Linked DNA regions of Mus musculus. The protein of the gene in region 1 purifies or fractionates together with the protein of each later gene. This does not show direct contact. Links are inferred from orthologs where the notes say so. Each region holds a gene or a part of one and is shown in the gene's direction. Other genes may lie near its edges.

The links. The genes of interacting proteins can lie anywhere in the genome.
Region 2: the proteins of Nfkb1 (region 1) and Lrpprc purify together in Homo sapiens (affinity purification with mass spectrometry; 3 studies listed by BioGRID and IntAct, with this or other methods). This does not show direct contact. The link is inferred for Mus musculus from reciprocal best matches to the Homo sapiens genes NFKB1 and LRPPRC.

Annotation. Positions count from the first base shown.
Region 1 is NC_000069.6:135,587,273-135,590,625, reverse strand, and holds part of Nfkb1 (nuclear factor NF-kappa-B p105 subunit), read left to right. Parts: intron 1-137; coding exon 138-310; intron 311-1,121; coding exon 1,122-1,299; intron 1,300-3,353.
Region 2 is NC_000083.6:84,749,216-84,752,872, reverse strand, and holds part of Lrpprc (leucine-rich PPR motif-containing protein, mitochondrial precursor), read left to right. Parts: intron 1-99; coding exon 100-144; exon of another isoform or gene 145-148; intron 149-450; coding exon 451-564; intron 565-1,518; coding exon 1,519-1,649; intron 1,650-2,279; coding exon 2,280-2,365; intron 2,366-3,657. UniProt on the Homo sapiens protein: May play a role in RNA metabolism in both nuclei and mitochondria. In the nucleus binds to HNRPA1-associated poly(A) mRNAs and is part of nmRNP complexes at late stages of mRNA maturation which are possibly associated with nuclear mRNA export.

The DNA of each region.
Region 1 (3,353 bases):
AAGCACCTACTGCTGCTGCTGAGCAGGGCCTCTGGACTTGGCAGAAGCTTGGTGGCCTCCATCAGAAGTTGGACAATGACCTGTCCTCTCAGATTGATTGTCCCTGGAAGGTTAAAGCAGTCATGTTTCTTCCTTAGGGGACATGAAGCAGCTGACAGAAGACACGAGGCTACAACTCTGCAAACTGCTGGAAATTCCTGATCCAGACAAAAACTGGGCCACTCTGGCACAGAAGTTGGGTCTGGGGATACTGAACAATGCCTTCCGGCTGAGTCCTGCTCCTTCTAAAACTCTCATGGACAACTATGAGGTAACGCGCCGCCGTACCATTTAGAGTTGTCTGTGTAACTATTGGTAGTTGACCGTGTCAGCTCCACTGAGCAGCACAGCCTACCCCCTTACATAGTAACTTTATGGAAGGAAACCAGTCATTGCCTGGAAGGCAAAGGGAGCCAGGCCAGGATGGCGCCTTTTTCTTGAGAAGACTGGTTACCCGTCTCTCGGCATTCCCTGTTTTCAAATTCTCAGAGCCTTCCTGTGAAAATACTACTGCCCACAGGATGGGGACCCCTCCAAGCTGTGATCGGTGTGTGCATCCCTGTTTGCAAGAGGGAGCCCCCCAGGGCCATGGCTTCATTGTTCTGTCGGGTGACTCCTATTAGAGCAATTCCAAACTAAAAAATAGACAAACATGGGCGAGCTACTCCGAATGAGGCTGTCATTGCTAGCTGCTGTCTTCCCTGGATTTCTGTGCGTAGACATCACCGTAGGCAGTCTCCTGTCTCCTGTCTCCATGAACTCACAGGCTTCTTTCCCTTCCTTCCCCTCTTTTTTCTTTATCTCTCTCCCCCTTCTCCCTCATCTTCTCCATCTCCTTCATCTTCTCCATCTCCCTTATCCTCCCCTTCTCCATCTCCCTTATTCTCTCCTTCACCTCTCCTGTGATTTTTCTGAATGGATTTGATCCAAGATGGGAACTAGAACCTAAGCACTGTGTTTCTTCAGGTTCCTTCCCTGCCCTCTCCAAACCCCCCAGCTCTCTGGAGCAGACACAGAGAAGGGACGCTAACAGCCTGCAAACAGGCTGGAACACACGAACATACTCTCCCTTTTCCTACCAGGTCTCTGGGGGTACCATCAAAGAGCTGATGGAGGCCCTGCAACAGATGGGCTACACAGAGGCCATTGAAGTGATCCAGGCAGCCTTCCGCACCCCGGCAACCACAGCCTCCAGCCCCGTGACCACTGCTCAGGTCCACTGTCTGCCTCTCTCGTCTTCCTCCACGAGGCAGCACATAGGTAAAGAGGCTGAGAGAGTTCCTTTCCTCGCTGGCAAGGTCTTTGTGCTCTGGGACGTGGCACTACACTCCCTTTCCCTAGTCTTTTTCCTGACATGTGTTCCTCTGTGGCATGCCACCCGCTCCCTCCCCACAGTGCTCCTCTGCGCACACAGGAACAGGCAGTTCCCACAGACACTCACATTGGCATATAGGTCACTTAGAATCCCAGTAGACACTGGACATGGCGGGGAGGGTTAAAGAAACACTACTTCTCATATTTGTTAAATTTGGAGAAAGATTCTAAGAAAGGTGCACAGCCCTGGGCCACAGGACAAGAAGTAGGACCCAGGAAATATGCATACTGTATGACCCTTCCTTTCATGCCACCACCCTCAGGTCCCCCACCTCCTCCCTCCCTCGGCACTCCCCGTCCTTCAGCTCCCACCCTGCTCATGGTCCTGCCTTTGTCTTCCCACACTAACATCCACCTGTCACCCCCAACACATGCATTTGTACGAATGGATCTCGGTACAGGCTTGAATTATGTCATTGTTCCCGGCCCGTGCTTTCTCTAACCTCTGCACCCTTTCTTCTTGTTCATTTTCTACCCTAGCCACAAACTCCACTGAGACCAGGAACAACTAGCATTCTCCCATCTTTGTATTATGCCAGCACCCGGGTGGCAGGCCTTCCATCTGGGCTCAGTAGGTTATGTCTGCCTTCCACCTGGGGCAGTCCTCCCCTGGGAGCCTGCCTGTCACCTTCAGCAGGTCCTGGACACCTGATTCTTGCCTCTTTGTCCTGTACTGTCCTTCCTTCCCCACCTGCTGTGGAGAACCTCTTGCTAGGATGTAACTTCTCATCTTTAAACACTGGCCCGCCTGGCCACAGGCTGCTTAGCCCCGCTTTGATTAATGTTACATCTCAATGAATGGCTTTGTCCATTGATAGCGCTTTGGTTAGCTCATGTTTTCACGTTTGTATGATACATGCTGTTATTTTTGTTCGCATTTCTCATATGGGGGAATCTACAGGTAAACACAGCCTCCAAGTTCAGTAGAAAAATGTCATCATTAAGAGTATTATATCCAATAAACAGTAAACAGATTTTTTAAAAGAGAAAGAAATTTAGAGAAAAACGAGACATCACTTCCTTGTTACACCCTTTAGTTGAGTTCAAACTTCTCAGAAGAATATGATAACTGCTGGTCAGCTCACCACCTCTGTCTGCCATCTGCTTCTGTCCCCTCCTCTCCTACACTCTCCTCCACGTTGCCCGATTGACACTCATCCTGTCACAGCTGATAGCCCTCACTCACCAGTGTCCTCTCAGGGCCTTGTCACCCACACCCACCCTGCTGCCTCCTCCTCACTCCTGTGCATGTATGTGTGCACTGGGGTCCTTAGGGCATTTTTATACATACTTAGTTCTGGTTTATTCTCATGACTCCCTCAGCTCCCATCGCCCCAGCCCTGGACCCTCTACTCCCTCCCTCCCCCCCCCCCCCCGCACTCGCTCCCTTCCCATTTTCACATGTGTTCCCTACCCTTTCCATCCCTTTAAAGCCTGTTTTCCGCCCCCTGGAGGCCTTTGCTAGTTTTCTGGCCTCTGCTCACGCTCACTTCCACATGAATATACATACGTGACTGTTGGAAGCTAGGATCCACACGTGAGAGAGAACGAATGGTATTTATGTCTCTGGGCTGCCTTGATTAGTATTCTCCATTAACCTGCAAGTTTCATCTCTCTTTACGGCCGAATAAACTTTTATCATCTTCACACAACTCTTGGCTCTTGCACAAACTCATACTGGCCATGACTGTCAAAAGTATAGCCAGGCTGTAACAAAATCTAAGAGTGGCAATGAATACTTTCTGGCATTCAGGTCCTCATGCTTAACCCTGAAAGGGCATCTCTTCTTGGCAGATGCCAAGTTCCACCCATCCTCACTGCTTGCCTGAACTCCAACAGTGGCTCCTAGTCAGCCTCTTTGACTCTTTGCTTGCCCCTCCATCAGTTCTCTGCACCACGGTGATGTGACATGATAGGGCTCCAGTCACAATTAAAAACTA
Region 2 (3,657 bases), on another chromosome or scaffold:
TAAAGTGAGGTGGGGGCTTGTAAAATTTGCCTTTAATATTCACTAACATATTTTCCCCTATTTTTTCTAATTCTGTACTAATTTGATTCCCAATTTTAGGATATTAAGGTTCTGGTTGACAGAGAGAAGGTAGATTCTCAAAAAGTAAGTAGTATCTGACTTTGTTGGTTTTTTTTTTTTTTCACTGCTTCTAATGAGAATTCTAAATAGTGTCCCTGCAAGGGATCTTGTCTGTCTCTGAGATGGTAAATCTATTCGCCATCCCAGAAGAACATGAACATCTAGGATGATCTAGGAGAGAGTTGTGAACTCCCCCCCTCTGCAGACCTGAGATTAATATTTAATATCCCTTGGGGCATTTATGACAGAGAGAGAAGCAAGGCACTCCCAGGGCTGAGTGATAAGGGCTGTATTTCCTTTCCGTAGTAAACTTTTGTTCTTCCCATGTAGACTTCTCAAGTTACCTCATCTGATTTGGAATCAACACTTGAGAAACTCAAAGCTGAAGGCCAACCTGTAGGATCTGCCCTGAAGCAGCTCCTGCTGCTGCTCTGCTCAGAGGAGGTAACCCTGACAGTCCTTTCCTTTTCACGCGTGCGTGCTTTCGCGTGCTTTCGGGGTGAGACACTCTATAGACCACAGTAAGTCAAACCAAGTATAATGTTTATGAATTTTACACTTTATTATTATGTGTCATGCTTGAGAACGGTTCAATTAAATGAAAGGCTAACTAATTTCAGCGACACCTTGAATGACATGTTTTCAGGTTGCTGTAGTTTTGTTTATGATAATCTGCAAAGTGAATGATAGTAACAGCGTGATAGGTTTATCATACATGCCAAGTGTCCTTTCAAGCCATGGCTCCGGTCTCTCATATCCAGATTGTCAAGCAACTGATCCATGCTGGAGTCATTTGCAAGTCAAATACAACACGCTTGTTAATGCAGGGATTGAAATTCCATTTCCTGCTAGGAAAAAGCTTTCTGAGATAAAGGGTCCCTTGCCTTCTCCAGCAGGCCTGCAGCTGCCCCTTGTGTTCGTGTTAGTGTGTCTGCAGTTTGTTCTGTATCACTACACTTGGGAGTTTCTGCTTGAATAGGATTGTTCACATGCCTGTGAATGTTTAGGGGAGAAGTGTACTGTGACTACACTTTGAGATGACGTCATGGCCCTGTTACATCCCAACCAGGTTTCGTCACATTGCTTGTATTCTGAACTATCTGAGGGGCTTTTCAGTTCTGTAGATTTCTACCTCTGGAAATTAGACTGCTAGAGAAGACTTGGAAAATAGTGTAATAGTCTAATTTTAAATTACAGATAAGAAATCTTTTAAGCCCTGCATATATATATAAAAACTGGCTTGCACATGCACACCCTTAGGGGCAGAAATAAGAGTATGAAACCATTTTTTTTTTTTCAAAATACTGTCAACTTTTTTAAAACTCTGAACAACACAACAAAAAAATCATGGTATTTTACCTTTTTTTTCTCTCTTTTCACTAAATCCTTTTATTGTAGAATATGCAAAAGGCCCTTGAGGTGAAAGCAAAATATGAGTCAGACATGGTTATTGGTGGCTATGCAGCATTAATAAATTTGTGCTGTCGACATGATAATGCAGAAGATGCGTGGAACTTGAAACAAGAAGTGTAAGTGCCTTGCAACTGGAATAAACCAGCAGATGTATAAAGTGCCCTGATGCACTGAATGGATTGAAGATTGCTCTTACATTCTTGTAAAAGTTCTTTTGTTTTCAGTGTTTGTTTAAGTCCCATGCTGGAAGGGCTCCTTGGTTACTGATGTCATACTTCCTGCAGGGCCTTTTCAGTTTAGTAGAACATTCTAGTTCCCAAGCCACGGCATGCGGCAGCGGCTTCCAGTGAGCTGCGGCCCGTCCGTTCCCTTGCCCTGTAGTGCTGCACACAGTCCTGTCTACCTCCAGGCAGCTTGCGTTTCTTTACTACCAGATTCTAACATGGAGATAAGTAAGTGTAGGTATTTGGGTGGTCACAGTGAAGGCTAGAACATGAAAAGACCTGTAAAGACAAAGTGTGTCTTCAGTATCTTCCTGTGCAGCCAGGCAGTGTGTGCTTCTGCAGTCCTCCTTATGCATTCATGACTGTAAATAACTTCGAATTGATACATGGTTTCAGACACGTTATGTGTCAAGGCGGGTATCGCAATGCAGACTGTTTGGTTAGTTTTTGGAAAGTGATCAATTGACTATGACTGTCGTTTTTATAGTTAATTGACTCCCATAACTCTGGCTTATTTTATAGTGACCGCTTAGATGCTTCGGCTATTCTTGACACTGCCAAGTACGTAGCCCTTGTAAAAGTACTGGGAAAGCACAGCAGACTCCAAGGTAAGCCCCAGGACATGGGGGAACTCTGCGATGCCAGTCCTTACCCTGGATTCACACGTGAATTGATATTAATGGCTATCATGCTCTACAAAGTGCTTGAACACTTTGCATACAAATTTGCATGTGAATCCGAGCAGCGACTGCATGGGCAGTGCAGGCCATTAGTTTTAATGGATAGGCAGGCTTGTCATTTACTTTTGCACAGCTCAGTGCCTTTTGCATTTCTGCAGCTAGTTTTTATTAGCATTGCTGTTTGGACTGAGTTTGAAGATCATGACTTATGGCACAGTTTGCTTATGTGCCTGCACTAATGGCTTTGTTTTTGCTTAAAAAGATCTGAAGGCTGAACCTAAAACCTGCAAACACAACCTGATAGATATGGACCTGAACTGCCGAGTTTTGCCTTAACCTTTAGTAACAGTAACAAGATGGATATTTTAGTTGAAAAGCGAATTTGATTACATGGATGATTTACATGCTCTAATTTCCTCGTTGGAAAATTGCTAACCCTAATAATCTAATTAATTGCACTTGCTATGCAGTCTTCCTGTTGCTAGTTCTTGGTCCTCTTAGCCTGGTACCAGAACTTGGTCCTTACATTTCCTCTCTTTTATTTTCAGAAGAGACGGAATGGGAGCTTTTTTTGATTTGAATGTTGACATTTTTCCTAGGAAGTCTTTCTAACACAAATTAGTCTGCTTTTTAAAATTAGTTTTTGTAAAGTGGTCAAAACATTTTGTCTGTATAATAATTGAGAAGAAACATTATAAAAGTGCACTTATTCCATATTCTAAACTGTTTGTTTGTACCTTCCTAATGAAGCTTAATGAATCTAATGTATTAGTATGCAGTCTTTTGGAAAGCTTTCATTGGCTCTGCTTGGCTAATTAGTATCGACATAGCAAACAGGCCGTATCGGTATCAGACCATTAGTCTGGCTGAAGATACAGTGTAAACACATCTTTATTATCTGGCCTCCTGACAAGCCATCTGCCGAAGAAACAATGGTGTGATTTAGCAGATGTTAGCTCTGAACGATAAAAGCATCCATTTAGCAGGATCTTACAGCTACAGGGCAGACCATGCAGGGCTGCGTGGTGCAGAGTGGGCACACGGTCCCTATCTGTAATTTGTAGTCAAAGTTGCAGGGAAATGATAAAACCATGCTATTGTGGATTTATAATTGTAGTCTCGTTTAGAAATGCAAGTAGTAATTAACTCGAAATCGGCATTATACACTAGAATTTACATTCCTGCTGGGCTCGAAATGCTGGTCTAATAGCAGTTTGTTT